Linked DNA regions of Diceros bicornis minor. The protein of the gene in region 1 interacts with the protein of each later gene in a pairwise test. Links are inferred from orthologs where the notes say so. Each region holds a gene or a part of one and is shown on either strand. Other genes may lie near its edges.

Region 1 (6,945 bases):
TGTTCACTGTCATTTCAAGCCACTAAGTTTGGAGTTAACTGTTACATTGTAATAGATATAATACATAGGAACCCACAAAATATTTGTTAATGAATGACTGAATGAATGAATCAATGAATAGATGAGTGATGAAGGCTGTGGTTCCTCAACTCACCTGTGTGCTTTAGAGGATGCGTGCTTTACAGATAATTCCCCAGGCCCACGGAACTTCATGTCCCAGCTTTTCTATATAAGGATAGAGTGTTCGCAAATTCTTGAAAGATAAGTAGGGTAGAAACCATCTGTAAGAAACATTTAAAGGGAAACCAGATCTGCTAATCTCAGCCGATCTGGATTTTCAATTCTGCCAAGTTCAGGGTACATTTTTGTGACAGAATTCAAAATAAGAATAAGCCATGTGCAACTGTATAATGTCACTGTCCTAGAAAAGGTACTTGTGCTAGACTTTAAATATCTCAGCTTTGAAATACCACTTACTGATTGTTTCTATGGTACCAAACTATTTAAAGTTGTAACTAGGCGAGGATTTTCCCCCCAGATCTTTTGAAGGCAATATGGAAACAGTGCTGTATGGCATAGGCCACATAAAGGGGTGATTAGGCGTGTGAACTCAGGGGGTAATAGAAACTACCTCAGAAGGTTAAGGAATCTAAGAGATGATGTATGGTTTGTCTTTGTGACTCTGAATAGACAGGAATCACTCTATAAGTATTAGCTCAAATAAGTAGAGAGAAATGGTGTGGGTGCCCCATGCATGGTACAGCAGAGGAAGCACTGGTTTGGAAGTCTGACTCCTGGGTTCCAGGCCTGGCTCTGTCTATAAACTCACTGTGTGGCCCTGGGCACATTGCCTCATCTGTGAAAAAAGAGGGAGGGACTAATGAGTGTCCGGGGGCCCTTCCAGGCTCCTGCTCAGGAGCCGTGTTGCCTAGCAACCCTTCTGGGAAGGCTACATGTCTGAGTACCTCATTGGGAATCTAGACACGGGCCTGGACGTCCCCGAGTCCCAAAGCAAGGGTTTTTCTGGGCAGTGACGAGAGACCAGGGTGGATATGAGATCCTGAATCTAAACTTCTGGCCACCTCTTTCCTTGCTTTTCCTGAGGTTGGGCATTTGAGCCCAGAAATCCTGAAAATCTACTCATCTTTGAGGCTGAGAGGCCTCCCGTGCAGAGGAATAAGACTGGGTCTTTTCAGTGGAAATAGCCACAACCATTTATGAAGCTCTTACTATACCAGGAACTTTACATGTATTAGTCAGCCTTTTTTTTTTTTTTTGTCCTAAAAATAACCCTTTTAGAGCAGTACCACTGTTATTCCCATTTTACAGGTGGGAGAACTGAGGTGCAGAGAGGTGATGGAACCTGCCCCAGGTCCCACATTCAGGAAGCAGCAAAGTGGAGATTTGGATCCTTGAAGTTTTACTCCAGAACCTTCATTTTGGAAAAAAATTCTAAGTTCATAAAGAAGACATCTTTTTCTCTTAATCATTTGAGATTGAGTTGCTTGCTGGATGCTCCACCACCCCCAAGACTTGAGTATTTCCAAAAACAAAGACACTCTCCAATGTAACCACAGGACAACCATCAAAATCAGGAAATTAACACGGACACATCACACCCTGGAAACCCCGGACCCCATTTCAATTTTGCCCTTTGTCCCAATAACTTCCTTTATAGCAAAAAGATCCAGTTCAGATTCATGTGTTGCATTTAGTTATCGTGTCTCTTTAGTTTCCTTCAGTCTGGAACAGTTCTAGGGTCTTTCTCTGACTTTCACAACATTGGCACTTTTGAAGATAACAGGCCAGATTTTGGGAGAATGTCCCCTTATTTGGGTTTGTCTGACGTATCCTCATAATTCCCTTCAGGTTATGCATCTTTGGCAGGAATATCACAAGAGTGATGCTGCGATCTTCTCAGGGCATCCTACCACGTGGTACGTGATTTTCATTTGTCCATTCTTGAGGACACACACCCTGGTCACTCGATCAGAGCCTGCAGTGACGCCACAACAGTCCACAAAGGTCTCTTCTCCAGAAGCCACATAGTGGGGTCCATTTGGTGAAGCAAACCCATCAGCCCCTCATGATCAAAGTAATTTCAGCTCCATAAAGTCTGCTGTGAAGCTACAGACATAGCTACTGAGAAGCCAAGCTTACTTCTATTTTTGGCTTTGGGCTATAAACAGAGGCATATACATTTTCAGGCCCAGACTCAAAATGGTTTATCTCATCTGTTTCCCTCAGTCTGCTGCCTAGTGGACATTTTGGTCTCTTAGACTCTGTCTCCCCGGCGTTCTCCTCTACTAAAACCTCACTTTCCAGTTTCTTTCCTAAGTACATACTTTGTGTCAGGCACAGTGACACTACATGTCACTGGGGATACAGAGACCAGTAAAGCACAGTCCCCATTCCCAGTAAGTTTTCACATATTGGGGTATATGGGGTAAGTATTTGATTCAAAACTAATTCAGCTTGAACTAAAAAAGATGCCTGCCTTTGGCCTATCAAACATACATTGTATATCTGCTTTAACCATAAAAGTAAAGCACGCACTCTCTTAAGAAAGTATCCTTCCTCTCCTACACCCTATTGGTAACGCCCATATTAGTACTCCTAAAATAAATTCCCTGTCCCGACATCAGGGTCATGTTGACCTGCTAATTTGCAACTAAATACCTCTTTGAAACTTTGATGAAAATGTATCCCGGGTGTGTTTAATATAAGTTCTTTGTTCTAAAAAGATATAAGACTGTAACAAAAACCATGTTTCTCCCCAAGGCTTTCTCTCCCCAATGCTTTCTTCCTGTCCTGAAAAGGCCTTCCCCAGCTATAACCCTCAGTCTGGCTCAAGTAAAACTCACCTCTCTCTCTTATCTATAGAATAGTTATTGGTTATTTTGTGTGAACACCAAGAACCTGGCATTTAATTGGCTTCACGGGATTCTCATTTAATTAATAACACCCACTCGAAGTTAGACCCAAATCTTTTCGCTCCAAAGCACACCAACACTTGCGTCTTGGATATTTTCATCATACGGAGGAGAGAGAGAAACAGAGCGAGGGAACATACGAAAACATTAACGGCTAACACTTCCCAAGCACCTACTGTGTACCTGGTTCAGTTTTAATTGCTTACATATTGTATCTCATTGGATCCTCAACCATTTTGCAGGAGAGAGAACTGAAGCTTCGAGAGATGGAATGACTTGCCCAAGGCCCAGAGCTGGTAAGTGGCAGAGCTGAGATTGGTACTCAGAGCCAGTGAGGGATTCCCTGGGAGGGCCGCTGCCTGGTTTGTTCATTGTATCCCCCGAGCCCGGCACAGAGTAGACAGTACATTTTTATTAGATCAGTGAATGAATGAATTTATTTATCAACCGGCTGGAAAGGAAGAGAATGGAGAGGCTTCCTGGAGGGAATACTTGGGACTTCTCGAGTTTGCCCATTCATTCCTTCACTCCCTCAAACTCCTACATAAGGCAACTGCTCTGTGCCCACGACGGGGCTTACCGGAGACCCAAGGACACAGGAGACAGTCCTGACCTTCATCATCCCCACCTGAATGCCGTGTTCCGGCCCCGCTACTGCCTCACGCGATTCCCCACAACCATCCCATGAGCCAGTCCTATACCCCCATTTTACAGATTTAGAATCCCAGACCGGCAAAGGCCACGGCGGCTCGGCGACGTCCAGCAGCCGCGACAGGCTGGGCGTCTCCACGGAGCGGGCGCGGCAGGGAGGCCAGCGCGGCCGGGAAGGCACCCCCAGCCTCTCGGGGGCCAGAACATCCGCGTCTTCTTTCTGGCGTCTCAGCCGGGCCGCTCTAGAGCCAAAGCCGCCGTAGCCTTCCGCTGCTGCCATGGCAACCAGCGCGCCACTTCTGCGGTCGCGCGACGTCATTTCCGGCGCGCCGGGCTCTGCACGTCCGGCTTCCGGCGTCCCGAGCGGCGGGGCTCTCGCGCGGAGCGGGGAGCTGTGTGTGGCCGGCGGGACCCGGGCGAGGTGAGCGGGCCGGGGGCCGGGGAGGGGGCGAAGGGGCGTCCGCGCCGGCGGGAGTGGCTGCGAGGGCTCGGGGAAGGCGGCCTCGCCGTGGGGCTTCCGTTTCGCCGACGGCTCTGCCGAGGGCGGGCCGCCCGGCGTCCCCGGGGAGTCGGGGCCGGGTCGGGCGGGGACCGAGCCTCCGCCGCGAAGTGTGCACAGCGGAGCCCGAGCCTGGGCTGAAGTCCCCGGGTGCCGAGCCCTGCCTGCCGCGGGACCTAGGGCAGGTCGTGTAACCGCGCTCAGCCTCGTTTTCCTTATCTGAAGCCTGTACGGAAACGCCGGTAGTCTCCACCTCGTGGACGGGTCTTGATGCTTGCATTATCGGCCTGAAGCGTCCAGCCAGTGCTTGGCGTGTGTGGAGGCCTCTCTAACTCGTGACAACTCTAATTATTACTCTGCCCAGCGGCGTTATTGACTCCCATGTAGCTGGGACCTCCCAGAACATCTCCCTCCTTGCACTCCTGGATGAGCGTGGGTCCACCAGCACCCAGCCAGTGCACCAGAGACTGGAACAAGCAGGGAGAACTGTGTAACAGAGCGGACCCGAGTGTGACACTGCCTGTGGCGGTAGTGAACTCCTGTCCCCAGAGGCTGCTTGCAGCAGCTGGGCGACAAGAATCACGTCGCTGTCACACAGTGAATGTATTACTGCGTAGTGCACCATGCTTGGCACTTCGTGTGCATTTAATACTCATACACTGAGTACCTGGTAGGAGTGGGATTTGAAGTCAGGCTGTGATTGTAGTACCTGATTTCACACGCACTTTGCTAGGTTCATTCCCTAATCCAGTAATAGTGATGATGATCCTAATCTTGGCACTCCAGTAACAGCTCTTGTTCCTGGAGCACTTATTCTGAGCTAAGTGTTTTTTAAGCACCATCTCATTGAATCTGACTTATAAGCATTCTCAAAGGTTGGTATAGTAGTTAATCCATTTAAGAGACAGCTAAATCTCATCACCCAGCTACCAAGAGTTGAATTCTCTATTCCAACCCATAGATGTCTGACTGCTAAGGTAGTGTTCATAATTAAGACTGCCTTCCAGCTCATCAGAGGAAAACTAAGTCTTAGGGTTTCATCATCAAGTAATGTATTTCAGAAAGCTTATTCTCAAATATCACCCTCCTGGGACTGCCAAGGGTCCAGTATAACTCTTTCCTCAATGATAGAAAAAATAATAAAGTGTAGGGTCCTGGAAGATGACCACCCAGTTTTGGAGGCAATAATATATAGAATAACATACTTATTTAGTTATTTTTGTGTGGTTTGTGTATATGTGAGTGTGTGATTTTTATGACATTGGGACTAGGAAATACATGCTTGAGAATCACGTAGACTGTTGGGACTAGTCTTTTCTTCCATCTGTTATCGTACCGATTGTTTTCTAAATGTTTATGCTGAGGAAGATTCGCCCTGAGCAAACATCTGTTGCCAATCTTCCCTTTTGTTGTATGTGAGCTCCCACTATAGCATGGCCACTGACAGACAAATGGTGTGGGTCCACGCCTGGGAACCAAACCTGGGCTGCCAAAGCAGAGCATGCAGAACTTAACCACTAGGCCATCAGGACTGGCTCTGTTCTATTTTTGCTGAGGAAGATTTGCCCTGAGCTAACATCTGTTGCCAATCCTCCACTTTTCGCTTGAGGCCCTGAGTTAACATCCTTGCCTATTTTCCTCTATTTTGTACATGGGTCGCTGCTACAGCATGGCTGACAAGTGGTGTAGGTCCGCACCTGGGATCCGAACCCACGAACCCAGACTGCCGAAGCGGAGTGCACCAAACTTAACCACTAGGCCACTGGGGCTGGCCCTTGTTTTCTAAAATAAGGTTTTAACGTCTGCTTTGTTGAATTTTAACAACGGTTTTAAGGGACCGTGAGTTTGGAGGAAGTTCTGAAGGCAGCAGGGAGTAGGACTCACAGGGAATCCTTCTCCTGCTATGCCCAGGACTCATCACAGACTGTGCCTTTTTCATCCCTTCCTTTAGTGACTGGCCATGTCACTGTCCCACTTGTACCGGGACGGGGAAGGCCACATGGATGACGATGAGGACGAGCGGGAGAACTTCGAGATCACCGACTGGGATCTCCAGAATGAATTCAACCCCAACCGGCAGCGCCACTGGCAGACCAAGGAAGAGGCCACCTATGGAGTGTGGGCAGAGCGGGACTCGGACGAAGAGAGGCCCAGCTTTGGAGGCAAACGGTACTGGCCGGCATGGGGCTGCCTCCTCTTGCTTTAGGGAAGACGGAGAGGGAGTGGGGGAGATACCCCCATAAATATACTTCTCTCCTGGCCTTACTGAGCCCCTGCGCTATGACATCAGCTAGGGAGGTCCTGTTTCCTCTTTAGGCTAGAGGGCTGCTCCTTCACTGATTTGATCATCAGTTGGTGTCTGTTGAGTGATTACGTGTATTAGGCATTGCGCTATAGACTCAGTCCTTGCCTTTCAAGATCCCAGACTCGAGTGGATGGAGACAGGCGTTAATTAACAACTCACACAATGGAAGTTCGTAACTGATTTAGGACCTAAGGGAGAGCACGTTTTAGGGTGTTGGACCTATTTGGAGAGGTCAGGAAGATTTCTCTGGAGAAGCCATCCTTGAGCTGAATGAAAGAACGTAACTAGGGTAGGAGAGGTGCGGGTAAGCAAAAACCCTTAACGGGAGGCCACAGGGTATATCCGCGAGGACGCGAAAGGCTTTGCGGGCTGGAGTGGAGAGAGGGAGGGGAGCACAGTTTGAGAAGAGGCCGAGGGTCTGTGGTAGAGGTGTGGCGTGGGGCGGGGCTGTGTCTGCACCCTTGGCTGGTGTGCAGAGTTGTCGTGGAGTCACAGTGGAAGATGGAGCTGTGTGAGGAGGCGGTGGTCCCTGCAGAGGGGGAGGCCTGGGCTAGGAG
Region 2 (7,248 bases), on another chromosome or scaffold:
ATCCACTCTAGCTGATTGTGCAGGTGCTTGTGTCCTCCAGTTCTGCTTGTGCTTGATCCTGTGTATAAAACTTCCATCTTGTTGCTGGGCCTGCCCACTCTTACACCTTGGTGGATCTGACACAACTCAGCTCATGATGGGCAGTTCTGGCTGCATAGTCACTTGCATGGTCACATGATGTCCTATGGCCAGGCATTCCATCTATACCAGGACATAGTAGCATACCAGAAACTGTCTTCAAAAGGTACATAATTCTCCATTGCATGTGGTATGGCTTTGCTCCAGAACCTAAGTTCTTGACTAAGCTGTGACTTTCCCATTAGGGCTTACCAAAAACTCCATATGGCAACTTTTGCCAACACAGATACCTCTAATACATTAGGGTCTATCTATCATATGGGCCAAGTGGCAGGACTGCTTGAAACTGCAGCCTGGACCTGCTATAGAGTCTTCTCTTGCTCTAGGGCCCACTCAAAGCTGGCAGCTTTTTGTGTCACCCAGTACATGGGTCGAAACAATAATTCCAGGTATGAAATCTGCTGCTTCCAGAACGCAATGAAGCCTACCACACGTTGGGATTCCATCTTCGTGGGGAAGGTGAAAAATGCAATAATTTGTCCTTTACTTCAGAGGGAATCTCCTGGCATGCCCCAAACCATTCAATCCATAAAAACTGCATTTAATGTAGCCAGCCCCTTGATCTTTATAGGGTTTATCTCCAATCCTCTGGTGTACATGTGTCTTACCAAGGCCTCCAATGTGCTATCCACTTCTTACTCCTTTTGGTTCAATTAGCATGATGTCATCAACATAGTGGACTAGTATTATATTCAGATAGTCCAGATCTCTTCAGACTATATTATGACAGAGGACAGGAGAGTTAGTAGGGCCTTGAGGAAAAACTATAAATGTATACTGTAGCCCATTCTATGCGAATGTGAACTTTTTCTGATGTTCCACTCTGAGAGGGATAGGAAAAAACACATTTTCCAAGTCAATAGCTAATTACTAGGTACCTAAGGCCATGTCATTCTGCTCTAGCAAAGACAGCATATTTGACATGGCAGCTGCACTTGTGTCACCACTTGGTCGAGTTTGCAGTAGTCTACTGTCATATACCAGGCTCTGTCCACGTTTTGCAGAAGCCCAAACTGGTGCATTAAATAAAGATATGATGGTGAGACCACACCCCGGCATTCTTTAGGTCTTTAAAGGTGGTACTAACTTCTGCCGTCCTCCCCAGGATGCTGTACGTTTTCATTTACTATCTTGGCCGAGGAAGTAGAGGGCAGTTTCAGAAACTTTCACTTGGCCTTCTCATCTACAAATAGCTCTGACTCCACAGGCCAAGAAAACAACATGGGGCTTGTACCAACTATCAAAATATCTATTCCAATTATACATTCCTAGACCAAGAAAATAACTACCAGGTGAGTCTGTGGACCCAGTAGAACCACTGTGAACTAGGCCAGGAGCCCATTTAATACCAGGCTCCCATCTGACCCTATTCTAACAGGGGGACTATGATGACACTTTAGGTCTCTGAGTATCAATATCAACTCAGAACCAGTGACCATCAGTCCTCAAAATGTTTGGGTATTCCTCTTTTCCCAGTGCACAGTTACCTGAGTAAATGGAAAAACTGGAGGAATCATTACTACATATATGTTATAGGGTCCTTCTTTCTGGGAACCCAGCCTCTCCTTCAAACAGTGAGTTCTAGATCAAAAAATGACTTAGGACCAGAAGCTGGCCAAGGGATTGTGACTTTTTATTGAGGCAACTTCTCTCAGACTCTTGATCATCTTTGATTTCTTTTGATTGTATAGATTGTTGGCTGCCTATTTTCCCCAAGGCACTGTTATATTAACCACCTGCATTCTATTAACTACCTCTTAACCATCTATTCGGCAGGGGCACTGTGTTATATTAACCAGCTCCACAGCTCTCTGCAGGTCAGGCCTCTCTGCCTGCCACTCTGACCCTGTGGTACATTATGGTATTTGCATCTACCTAACATCTGACAGTTGAGTACAGTCATCCTGCCTCTATTGTTTCAGAGCCATCGCCATTTCTATCAGTTACCCTCATCCTGTAACATCCTCTCCTACTCTGAGCCCTGGCCTGCAGAGGCGAGCCACCACTGAACTTCTAAGTGATGCTGGTGCCCCTCTCACAGGTGCATTCTTTACAGCTTTGGCAAATGGCGTACCCTTTGGGTCTACCTGCAGAACATAGTCCTCAGGAGGGTTTTCTGGCCTTACATACATTTATTCTATCATTCCCACTTCCCTGAGCCTTTAATCCCTTCTCCCATCATCTGCTATGGAAACTCTGGCATTCATACCTCACTTAATATGGGCCATTGTTTTTTCCATACTTTGAGGAGCCATTCTAGTAGTGAGTTCACATGGTCTCCTGGGGTCTTTCCCAGGGTGTTCAATCCTCTATCTTGGGAGAGAATTCTCAAATCAATTAATTCTCCTTTATTCAATTTTATATTCCAGCTCCCCTGATCAAGGCCCTCAGAATTCAGTCCCATGCTTACTCCCTCAGCACCTGCTAGTACACGCTGGCTAGGTCCCACAGCTCCTTCTTGGGGTATTCCCTTTCCTTCCTTATGAGGCCCAGCACAACCCCAATGAGGTTACACTGTGACTTAACCCTAGATATAGGCCCAGCAGCCAGGATGGGAGGTTGAGGCAGATTCTGAGGGAAACACACGTTATCTTACAAAGGCTCTGCATGTTCAAGCAAAATGAAGTTCTAGCCCTTAAAAGGAAGGAGTGGGACACTTCTGAATGCTCAAGCAGTTCAGGGAAATCTCAGGATACAAGATTTTTAGGGATATCAATCCAGATGTCCCCATACCATATGTGAGGGTCCCCATTCCTTCCTACCTAGGACCCTGATCTTGACACAGCAGATTTGACTTGGTTGGGATTTTAACTTTTTTGAAGCTTGCTTTCAATAAGTCTTGAGCCTGGTCCTCAGATTTCTGTACCCTCTACCTGGAAAAGATGAGGACCTCATTATATGCTATAAATAAAGCCCTCAGGCTTTCACATATAGCTTTTAATTGTTGATTAACTTAATTCAGCTTTTCATTATTTTTTTCTACAGATTAATCAAGCTTAGCAATAGCCACCCAATTTTATGGCCTTCTTTATTTTTTTTTTAAACTTTATTTATTTATTTTTCCCCCCAAAGCCCCAGTAGATAGTTGTATGTCATAGTTGCACATTCTTCTAGTTGCTGTATGTGGGATGCGGCCTCAGCATGTCCTGACAAGCGGTGCGTAGGTGCCCGCCCGGGGTCCGAACCCGGGCCGCCAGCAGCGGAGCGCGAGCACTTAACCGCTAAGCCACGGGGCCGGCCCTATGGCCTTCTTTATATTTAATATTTCCCACATATTTCTCAAAGCTGTTACCTGGCACCAGTTAATGCATTCCCTTCACCAGTGCTATCCCAGTTCACCACCAGTGAAAGCTCTAACAATTCCTCTGCCACCTGTTCTAGGTGCCTATCTACTCCACCTACCACCAATGATGGGGTCCTCATTGCCAGCTGGGCAGCAGATGATCCACCTCCAAAATTTCATCACAGTGTATGCTTTCCTGAACCACTTCTCATACCAACTGTTGTAGCTTGCCTTCCTGGAGAGCAGACTCAGACACAGAGTTCAGCATGAAGGGCTTTTATTAGGGAATGCTCTTGGGATCAACACCTGTGGAAGGGAAAAGAAGGAAGCAGAATTGGACGGAGGGAAAAGTTAAGCTGTCTCATTTGGGGCAAGAAGGCCATGTTGATCAGTCATTGGATGGGAAGTACCCCAGGAAGGGGGTATGACCTTGGAAGAGCACTCCTAGTAACTGAAATAATAAGCCCTCTATTCCCGAAGGAAGATTAGGGCAGCAGATTGCAGAATCCACAAGTTTGACATCATTTTTTCCACTAGAAAGTTGGTGGCCATCAAATGCTAGAATTGAGAACAGTTTTACTTTTAACACAGTTACTAAAGTTTAAATTTCCAAACATTTGCACTTACATTTACAGCTTTTTTTAAATAATATTTATTTATAATATTTTTTATACCTTCCAAATATTTACACATAAATATGTGAGCCTCCATTTATACTTTTTCTCTAGTCCTCTGATATGCTATTGAAAAGTCTGCTTAGCCTGAATCCATCCGATTCCTTTTGATAAATTATGCAAAAAAATCCTGGTTTATTATATAAAAATCAGAAAATACAGAGGAGTAAAAAACAGATACGATCACCATTAATCTAACACCCATAGGAAACAACTAACATTCTCAGAGTATACACCAAAGTTTATACATAGAGATAATTTAAATATATACTTTTTCTTCGTAAAAAGTATGGCATGTGCTTTGGCAGCCTATTTTCCTCGCTTAAGATTATATGCTGAATTTTTTCCAAGTAAATACGTGTAGATGCCCATCAACATTTCAAGAGCTGCATAATGTTTCAATGTGCAGACATACACTAATTTGCTTAGCCAAATGCCTATTTTAAGACACTTGGGTCATTGATGATTTTTCAATCTTCAAAACAGTGAAAAGATGCACAGCCTTGTATAAGCCAATTATTGGATTATTTCCTAAGGATGAATTTCTACAAGTGGAATTATTGAGTCAAAGAGCACACACATCTTGAAGGCTTCTGAAACATGTATCCAAATTGACCTCGTCCTAGTGTAGGCTCCCACCAGCACAGTCTGAGAGTGCCCCTCCCCACACACCCTCACCACCCTCTGGGGTGGGAGAGTTGTGGATCTTCTCCAGTATGGATACCAACAGCCCTCGTGATGGTTCCATAAAGATCCTGCCCCAACCAACCTTATAAAAGTAATCTGATAGAAGCACTAAAAATTATTCTTTCTTCTAGTATATTTTCTGATTTCAAAATAATAACTAACGTATTCACTTACATAGACACCAAGAGTTGGCCAAGAAAGAGGACGTTTTCCTGTCAAATGGCCCCAGGCCCCTAAAAGAAAACTGTCCCTCTCTGTATGCCCCCAGAATAGGTTCCAGAACTTCTTCCTTCAGAGGGTCTCTCACTTCCTTCCTCCCCTTACCATTCCCACGGCCAGCAGTGAAATTTCACGCCTTTATCATCTCACGCCTGGACGATGGTGGTAACTTCCTAAGTGGTGTTCCAATCTCCAGTGGCCACTCCTGTCCCCACCCCCAACTCCAACCCATCCTGCACAGAAATCAGCCACACCGTTTTACTTTCATCCTGTCACTCCTCTGGTCACGAAAGGCTTTGGTGTCTCCCAGGGGTGGATGGAGTGATACGCAGGCATCTCGGTTTAGCAGTCAGGGATCCTCCACGAATGGGACTCACCCCAACTGCCAGACCGTATTTCCCATCACTCCCCTCCCCACACGTTGCGCTCCAGGCAGCCCAGCCTCCTCTCTGGAGCAGGATTCCCACCTCCATGCCTTTCTTCCCGCCACTCCTCCCTCCTCCAATGCCCTTTTGCCCCATTATTATCCAATCCTTCAAGCCTAGCTTACTTAAGTGTCCCCTCCTCTGTAAAACTTTCCCTGAGCACTGTTGCCTGCAGAAGTTTCTGCCACCTGTAAGCACTAATAGGAAGCAGCTGGCCATGATCAGAGGCTCCCGGTTTTGTTAATATCTTTTTTTTCCATACATCTTGTCTTTCCAAATAGATCATACACTCAAGGACAAAGACATGTCTCTTTTTTTCTGCTTAAAACACACAACTTTATTGATGACATAAAAATAAAGTCTCAAATATATAAACATAAGTCCACACAAAGGACCAAAGATTACCTTACTTATGAAGAATCAGTTCAGTTTCTGCTCATGAAGCATACTAAAAATATCTCAATCCAGACAAGGTAAAATCAACACATGTATTTTCAGTACAAGTTTGAATTCATTTGGTGTTCATAAAGTGGTCCAACTATAGACCATCATAAGTAACATCAGTTTTGAAGTTATAATGCAATTTACAATGTGCATTATTTCCAGTCTGCAAAACCAAAATATTACTCAGCTTTGTTTGGAAACATAAAACTAATCAGAGTTTACTTAATAACAGTTCAACTCTTTCTTTCACCTCAGGGTCATTGTATTCTGCTGCTAAGACTCGAAGTTTCTTGGCACATGCTTTAGGTCGTTGGAATACGAAATAAAGGGAATTTTTGCTGAACTTGTCCTGGGTAAATACTTTTGCTCTTCTTTTGAAATGATAATTTATATTTTCAAATAGTGAAAGAGCATTAAGAATATTCTCTTTTGTCTCTTTCTTGCTAAAGATATTAATCAGTGATGTTGGTGCATTAGCAATGAGTAAGTCTTTTGTCATAGATGGATTTTTAGAGAAATTCAAAAGCATTCCCAAAATATGGTCTTTAGTTTCTCCACCTCCCACAGTTAACAAACGAAGAAATTCTGAAATATAATTTGTCACCATATGCTGATACTCACTAATAATAGTCAGGTGCTTTATCAATCTTAGTCCAGCCAGCTGCACATTTGAATTCAAGGGATAAGTGATGGTGTCTTCACATACTTGATTTAAGTACGTTTTAACCTTCCTATGATTTTCAGCAGCCACTGAGATGTTATTCAGTGCATTTAAAGCCTTCTGCCTAACACTGGGGTAGGGATTATTGAGCAAGCTTTCAATAATTGAGATTTTACCTGCATTACGAATGACTTCATGGGAAAATGGATAATCAGGACTGTTATATAGAGCATTATTGGCTATTTCATGAATAGAAGGATCTTCAGTCATCTCAATCATGCAAATGAGTTTTTCAAGTTCTCGTGGATCCATATTAGCTTCACGTTTACAGCGGCAGGCCCAGGGCTGAGTTTTCTCCCCAGACCTGATCTGCTTTCTGAGTTCCTCTTCAGGTGGGAAGCAGGAGTCATTTTGGTATGGGAATTTCATTTCTGTCCAGATCATGGCTCCTGCCCATGACCCCATTCCTGCCCCAGGGACCATGGACGGATATGTGCCTCTTGACTCAGCTGACTTTTTGGCTTTAGTCTTAGGTGTAGATTTGTCCTCACTTCTGTTTTCATTACCAGCCCAGAACCAAGACCTTACATCGACTCCACCAGCAGCCTCAAGTTTATCCTTGGTGCTGGCCTTACACTCAGAATTGACATCTTTCTCACTCTTGGATCTGGACTCATTACTGTTCTCACTCTCAGCCCAAAACAAAGACCTTAAACT
Region 3 (7,852 bases), on another chromosome or scaffold:
ACAACCTCACTACCCACCACCCTGGAAACCTTAGTTCCTGGGTAGGTCAGAGAAGGGTATCTCAGCTTCACCAACCAGCAGGCATTTGCCAGCTCTAGCCCCTTGGGTTTATTTATAGGCCAACAGACTCAACAGGTAGCAGCCTCTCTGCCCCTTCACTGGAACTTCACTGTCCATCCTGGCTCAGTCTGGAGTTCTCTGCAGGGTTCTTGCTCTCTCTCTGATCATACCACCGATTCCCCAGGCTCATGGGTGGGGCAGTCTCACTCCCTGAGAGGGGTCTTACATGGTCAAGCCCTGCACACGCTCAACTGACTCTCGAGGCTTGGAGGGGCAGACTCTGGTTTTGGGCAGTGCTGACCCAAGCAGAACTGTGAGGTTGTCAATGCTTGTCCTCTCATCCCATCCCTGGGTGGCTCTCCCCTTTCTTTAGGCTTTTCTCCTCACTCTGACTCTGTAGGGGTCCCCTATCTTCCCACCTGTCACTTTCTTTTTTTTTTTTTTTTACAAATTGAGAAGCAGTTATTAAATATACAAAAAGTAATATCAGCCATATAAGGCATAAGCAAATCATTAAGAACACTTTGAATTGACATTTAACAAAAGAGGCAACGAAAATCATCAACAAGATTATTTTAAAGTTCAAGCTAACATAAAATCAATCAAATTCAAATTACAACAGCAAAGGCATTAATTACTTTCTCCAAAATTGGCAAAGATAATTAAAATTATCATATTCTATGCTGGTTAGGTTAGAGTGAGTTAGATACTCAAAATTGTTGAAGTTGAGGTTTCATTTTGGTGTATCTTTTCTGGAAATAATTTGGCAATTATTGCCAATTGTACATATATCTTTGTACCTAAAAATCACAGCAGACTCCTGGGATCTCTGGCCTTACAGATACCTCAGCACCTTAGTTAGGACTCTGATGACTTCTAGCTCTGCTGAGGACATGTCCACATTACCTGTCTGAGAAGTATTCATCTTTATCTGTCTGACTTATCTCACTTATCACAATGCTGCCACTTTCTTTCTTTAAAACCTTAGAAAAGGATCTGAGAGGCCCATCCATATTAAGTTATAAATGACTGGATGGAGGAGACTCAGGATTAAGTGCTGGCGAACTCAATGTCCAGAATCTACCCTTGCGGCATCCAAGCCGTAGCTCCTGGCTCTTCTGCCGTAGATGGGGAAGGAGGGGGAGCCCTGGCTCTTGACTCAGACTATGTGGATACATGTCCTGGCTCTGTCATCTACTACCTATGTGCTTTTAAACAAGCTATTAAACATCTCTAAGCCTCTGTCTCCTCATTTATAAAATGGGAACCTACCTCATAAGGTTATGAGGATTAAAGAGAAAATGCACGTCAAGCGTCTGGCACATAGCACACATAGCATCTGGCACATAGCACACAATAAGTGTTAGCTTTCTATAATAATAATAATAAACATAAGCTATGATTATTATTATCCCTGTCCTGCTGATCTTGGATATTGAAGACTCAGTGCTATAAGACAAAGGTCCCAAGCTAACCTTGCACTTCTAGGACCAAGAATGCCTCATCCTCTAACTCGCCCACCTCCTTTCTCTTTGAAGGGGTACTGTTTACTGTACGGAGGGGATGCTGGCCCCGGGTTGAAATCATATTTACTGCTGTGGTTCATCTGACCTCTGGGTTTGGGCTACATGGAGAAAAGACTTCTCTGTGGTCTGGACAAAACCACTATCTTCATTAGTCCCAGGAGAAAGGCGAAGAAGAGATGGGAGTGAAGAATTGGTGTCCAGCCTGCCTACATGCCACCATTAAAATGTGGGACGCTAAGTCCCCTCTCTGTTTGGCTCCAGGTAATCTGCAGGCTTTGTAGAGGAGGCAGATCCTCTGATTATGGAGAATCTTCCTGCCTTCCTGCCGTGAAGAAGAAAGGGTTGTGGGGGAGGAGATGGAGCCTGAGATAAGTTCTCCGTGGGCTCTCGACCAGGCTGTCTATACTAGTCCACTGAGACATATGGCTGTCCTGCTTTGCTTCCTGAGAGGCAGATATTGGGACTTATTACCCAAGTGGGGAATTGGAGTAGAAATGGCTCCTTAGAAAAGGGAGCCTTCTCAGACCCCTAGACCCTCACACCTGGTGGGATTTGTTGTGGCACAGCCGAGCGGAATCACACCCAGCCTTCCGGGATGTCTTGACTGTTCTGATTTGCTTAAACACAAGAAGCCATGTGGGACGGCTGACTGATGGGGATGGGCCATAGAAGAAAAAGGAACTGGCCCCTGTGTAGTTCAAAGAAAGGTCACTGGGCCACTGCCCAGGCTTTCTGGCATCTGTGGGGTGCCTCTTGGCGTCGTGACAGAGCCCAGTTGGAGCTCCGGGAAGAGGTAGTACTGGCTGGGGGAAGCTCTCCTCACTGCCGCAGGGAGAGATCAGAGCACTGCCCTTCACCTGACAGTGGTTTGTTGCTGCCTTTCCAAGTCTCTGTTCCTACTTCCTGGCTGTGTTTGCAATGAATGGCTTCCTACATGGGTCTGGGCTTCCTAGTCCAGAGCTCTCAGTGTGAGCTGAGGAGAGAGGGACCTGGAAAGGCAGCTTCATGTTATGGGGGTCCCTGCTTTGAGGGGAACTATGAGAGATCATTGAATTTATGCCCCTCTCGCTGGGTAGCCTGAACTCTAAGTCATTTGACTCACCTGTAATCTAATCCAATAGATGGAACGTAGAGTGATGGAAGCTGTACCCTTGCGCCGTGGCTAGTGCCCCTGGAAACCAACACAGGAGGCTTCTTTGGTTACCCAACCCCCAGCACTCTTAAACTACGCCATTCACCCCTGTGTCTCCCTCTTCAGCCTGGGGAAGCTTGGATGACAGAGTCTTCTGCCCCACCCCAGAATTAGAGCTCCCAAACCTGGATGCAAAAGCATCCTCCTCAGTTACCTTGGGTCCCAGGCTCCAACCCAAGCAGCTCAGGAAAGCATTCCAGCTCCTGGGCAGATCTTGGCTCTGGTTTCAGATGGGGCAAGACAGCAGCTGTGTAAAGTACAAGCTCTCAATCCATGGCTCTGGGCCCCCTTAGCATTTCCCTTCTTGGTACTGTCTTTTTTTTTTTTCGCACAGCAGCCTTGCTGAAACCGGAAACAGACAAAGCCACAGTGCTTGCTCACCCCAGTTCCTCTCTCTTGCTCTCTGGCACGGTCTGAGGGGGCCCCTGAACCCTTGAGGCCTCCAGCGCTGGGCTCAGGAGCTCCTCCCATCATTGGGCACCCCAGCCACCCTTCTTCTTGCTATTGGGTTGGTCTTAGCTCGCGGACAGTTTCCAGTCAAGATTCCTTTCCAGGAGCGGACAAGGATGGGCCTCTGGATCAGATTCAAACCTTGCAGTTTCTATGAGGGGAAAAAATGCATTTTTGACCTTGAAGAGATGTTCCCTGTGTAGCTTTTCTTGTGTGTCAGGTAGTTCTCTGTGTAAGGATTTTCCTTTTGTTGCCTCTTCCCAATCCTGGTATTGTAAAAAGTTTCTACTCTTCTAAAGTACCTGGTGTCTTTTTCAGAATTCTGGAATGAGGCCAGTTCTGAATTTGCTCCTTTCTGGAGCAATGAGGAGGAGGTGAAAAGGTGGTGGGTGGGTGACTGGGGAATGAAGGGAGCAGCAGCAGGCAGAATCTTATAAAAAAAGTTTCCTAGTCAATTGGACTAGGAAATTTGGGGAAAAACTAGAAGGAACTGATCTTTGTGCATTAAAAAGAAACCACTACAAATGATATTGTCAGGAAATTCCCAAGAAGTTCAGAACAAGATAGTGCAGAGAGAATTGGATTGGGGTAAGTTAACTGAGTAGTTTTATAACCTTGTGCAATTCACCTTGTCTGCATGGTCCACTCATTATGGTAGCTGGATGATTTATATGGCTCCTATGAATTCTAAGGCTTGACATGTGTGAGGCGTGCAATGAGATTTTTAAATAGCTGTGATAGGATAACAGTCATTAACACGTGGGAGTATGTCACAATCTTCTTCATTGCCTGCTACTTCCCCCATTCTCTGAGGAGAAAAAGGGCAAGGAGTAGGCAGGGAAAAGCACAGAGGATGGATTCTCAAGCACTAGAACTGAAGGCAAATGACGTTCCCTCAGGAAGAGAGACAAGAGCCTAAGGTCCTGTGTCTGGAGCTTGGTATATGGTGATGGGAATGAGTAGAAGACAGAGGGGTTAGGGAGCCCAAGGTGGTGAATAAGAGAATTTTATTGGCTTAGAAGACTAGTGAGAGGGTCCTGGGAGTTTAGGGCACCAGAGCATAGGAGAGGACAGGAGGTTATAACAGGAGGTACTATGGACCAACTATTTGGAATCCATTAAAAGTCAAAAAGAAGTGTGTGCAAAGATCAAAATGCCTTTTAGGGCTATGCACTCAATGGGATACCACACCCACTTTAACTGGGGTTTGGAGAGGTTAACAGTCTGCTCAAGGTAACACAGCAAGTGTTGGACCCAAGTTTGCTTGACATCAGAGCCTGAGCTGTTAACACTATGTTGTGAGAACAATACAATTAATAAGGTTGTCATACTTATCTATCTATATGGAGAGAAAGAGACACATACACACACAGAGAAAACTAAAACTAGAGAATATACCTTATTTTCAAATGCCCATGAAGCGTCAAAAAAATTGACTGTATTGATCATAAAGCAAACCCCAGTACCTTAAAAAAACAAGTTAATCTGTTACAGCAGAATTCCCCAACCATAGTACAATAAAATTAGAAATAAATAACAAAACTGGGAAGAAATAAACACTTCAACCTCTTGGAAAAAAAATTCTCCTGGTTTACTCTTGAAATATAGAGGAAACCAAATCTGGAATTAAGCATGCCTTGAGGGGCCAGCCCCGTGGTGTAGCGGTTAAGTTCGCACGTTCCGCTTCAGCAGCCCCGGGGTTCACAGGTTAGGATCCCAGGCACAGACCAACGCACCGCTTGTCAAGCCATGCTGTGGCAGTGTCCCATATAAAGTAGAGGAAGGTGGGCACAGATGTTAGCTCAGAGCCAATCTTCCTTAGCAAAAAGAGGAGGATTGGCAACGGATGTTAGCTCAGGGCTAATCTTCCTCACACACACACAAAAAAGAATGCCTTGAAAACAATGCTAACGAGAACATTAAGAACAAAATCTGTGAGGTATGGCCAAGGCATGACCCAAGGGAAATTCATAGTCTTAAATATTTTCATTACTTAAACAAGGAATATTAAAAATAAATTAGCTATTTATTTTCAAACAAATTTCTAAAAAGTAGTCAGGAAAATCAAGGAAAGAAAGTGAGAATAAAAAGAAGGTAAAAAGAGAAAGCAATATAATAAGTTAGAATTCAGAGCAGAATTGATAAATAAATTCAATTATCTATTGAATACCAGGAGCTAGTTCTTGTGTCTGTATGTGGGGAAAGGTAGAAATACCAATAGAAAACAAAATCAATGAAATAAACTACCAGCTAGCCAAATCACTTTAAAAGAGAGAAAGCACATCTGTAAACATTTATGAATGGTACATGGAAGTAACTATCATACAGTGGACATGAAAATACTTTTACAGTCATTTGTGTAACTAAGGTAATATTTTGAAAATCTGGATAAAATGAATTTAAGAAAACTTTATTTACCAAATCAGTCTCAAGTAGAGATATAGTCTAATCATCAGCCTGCCTCTCCCTGATGGTCCCCTTCCTCTAGCATAGGCTAGTACAGAGGAGGATTTAGATCAGGCACCTCTTGAGCTGGTCACGTGGCATTTACTGGCCAGCACTCTGTACTTCTTACCATTTCCAGGTCCACTGGGACCTTGGCTCTCTTTATTGATGGTCATATCCTGGAACATCAGGACATGGTCTCCTTAATAGATTCGGGTCCTCTGTGGGCTCCCATGAGGAGTAAATATAGGATAAGCATCACTTTGCCTTACAGCTCTGTTGCTTTGCTCTTCACAGCATCAAACAAGTATGTATGGGATCATCAGATTTTATTTTAGGGTTGGGGTAACTGAAGGGAATTCCAATTGTGAAAGGAAAACATTTAAACTGTGTGCTACTATGACTTATCCCATACTCTAAGAAATAACACCAAGAAGTCAAACTCTTTATGGAGGTCCCCACATGGGAGCTATTAGTTCTAATCTTGTTCCCCCTCCCACCCTACTGGATGACTCCCCTATTCATCTTTCGGGAAATGGCAACCTTGCCCATAAGAATTGTTTTTGCCTTAGAATCCCCCACTACACTCCCTCCAACATTTTCTCAGCAATGCATTCTTCAAGTCTAAGTTATTCATTCTAGAACAATGCCGCAGACACTGTTAACAGGATAGCCTGGGGTGGCCTTGTCACCCCAAGTTTTGCAGAAGGTGGCAGGAGGGGTTGGTGAGGGGAACTTGGAACTCCAAGTCCTGCAGAGTGGCTCAGGATAGGCACATTTAAGTCTGTTCTTGTTCAACTTCTCCCCAACCAGTGACTTGCAGACTCGTCTCTTTTTTTTTTTCCTGGGAAAGAGTCACCCTGAGCTAACATCTGTTGCGAATCTTCCTCTTTTTTTTTTCCTTCTCCCCAAAGCCCCAGTACATAGTTGTATATTTTAGTTGTAAGTCCTTCTAGTTCTTCTCTGTGAGCTGCCACCACAGCATGGCTACTGATAGACAAGTGGTGCGGTTCTGCACCCAGGAACTGAACCCAGGCTGCCAAAGCAGAGCGTGCTGAACTTTAACCACTAGGCCATCAGGGCTGGCTCTGTAGACTCTCCTCTTTAGTCTTTCAAGTGTCTACCTGGCAACTGTTTAATCAGATGTCCACACAAACATCCCAAGGACAAATATTCCTTCTCAGAGGTGATACAGTCTAAACTCATCAGGAAGAAGATAACTATTTCCTTAACTCCTACATTTGCAAGGTTGCCTCTCTACAATGGAGTTATGACTTCACACTTGTGGCAGGACAGAGTTCTCAGTTCTTTTCTTCTCTTTGTTGCTTTGTGTCATCATTGTTGATAGAGGACTTTTTACTATAATAAAACCTCAAAATTATGCTGTAACAGATTATCAATATTAGCAGATTTGTCTGTTGTACAGATGCTAAGAATCTGAAAGGCCTAACCCTAAGGCACAACTAACTGCACATCTGTTCTTGCGGGTCCCAGCATTGAGAAAGACAAGTTACTTTGCATCTTAGGCTGCTGAGAAGGGTGGTCTTACCAGCTTTGACCTTGAAGGGCCCTGATGGGATGAAACTTCAGGCCTGAGGGAGGGGGTGGAGTGGTGTGTGTGTGTGTGTGTGTGTGTGTGTGTGTGTGTGTGTTATAGAACAGACAGAACAGGAAAGAGTAAGGTAGACCAGAAAAAGGAGGGAGGGCTTCCCAGGTATTCATCTCCATTTGGACCAAAAGGAAAAACCATGTGTTAATCCTCAGAGCAACTTAAGTCTTCTCGTTTCACCTTCATTTCAGTTTGTGTCCCCTTGGGCCTGCCAGAGTATAAAATAAGGCTTACTTCTGAGTCAGATATCATAATGGCTTATCCCCTCGGTATGCAATACTCCTTTCTAAACTTTAAAAATTACTGCTTTTTAGGTCTCAATTAAAGCACCACCCTCCTCTCTCTGGTGTGTGTGTGAGTTGTCTGATAATAGGAGTCTGAGAACTCTTAGTTTATCACTAAAAGCCACATTATTTATTTAAAAACAATATACTTCCGTAAATTACTGAGCTTCCAAAATCATTAAAAAAAATTAAAAATATGAAGCTTTTATTCACTAAAATATGCTTTCACTTACTTCACTTATATATTGTTTTTGCATGATAGCCTAGGCAGTCAGAACCATTACCT

Evidence for each region. The genes of interacting proteins can lie anywhere in the genome.
Region 2: the proteins of TFIP11 (region 1) and ARMCX1 interact in binary tests that used the Homo sapiens proteins (3 or more experiments, as listed by UniProt). The two-hybrid records come from large-scale screens. The link is inferred for Diceros bicornis minor from reciprocal best matches to the Homo sapiens genes TFIP11 and ARMCX1.
Region 3: the proteins of TFIP11 (region 1) and TRAF3IP3 interact in binary tests that used the Homo sapiens proteins (3 or more experiments, as listed by UniProt). The two-hybrid records come from large-scale screens. The link is inferred for Diceros bicornis minor from reciprocal best matches to the Homo sapiens genes TFIP11 and TRAF3IP3.

What each region holds. Positions count from the first base shown.
Region 1 is NC_080774.1:20,627,001-20,633,945, reverse strand, and holds the start of TFIP11 (tuftelin-interacting protein 11), read left to right. Parts: upstream 1-3,935; 5' UTR 3,936-4,005; intron 4,006-6,034; 5' UTR 6,035-6,043; coding exon 6,044-6,252; intron 6,253-6,945. UniProt on the Homo sapiens protein: Involved in pre-mRNA splicing, specifically in spliceosome disassembly during late-stage splicing events. Intron turnover seems to proceed through reactions in two lariat-intron associated complexes termed Intron Large (IL) and Intron Small (IS).
Region 2 is NC_080781.1:94,604,830-94,612,077, reverse strand, and holds the start of ARMCX1 (armadillo repeat-containing X-linked protein 1), read right to left. Parts: upstream 3,015-7,248; 5' UTR 2,901-3,014; intron 855-2,900; 5' UTR 747-854; intron 1-746. Other genes in the region: ARMCX4 (armadillo repeat-containing X-linked protein 4), read right to left, coding at 6,082-7,248. UniProt on the Homo sapiens protein: Regulates mitochondrial transport during axon regeneration. Increases the proportion of motile mitochondria by recruiting stationary mitochondria into the motile pool. Enhances mitochondria movement and neurite growth in both adult axons and embryonic neurons.
Region 3 is NC_080743.1:75,798,604-75,806,455, reverse strand, and holds the start of TRAF3IP3 (TRAF3-interacting JNK-activating modulator), read right to left. Parts: upstream 3,015-7,852; 5' UTR 2,933-3,014; intron 1-2,932. UniProt on the Homo sapiens protein: Adapter protein that plays essential roles in both innate and adaptive immunity. Plays a crucial role in the regulation of thymocyte development.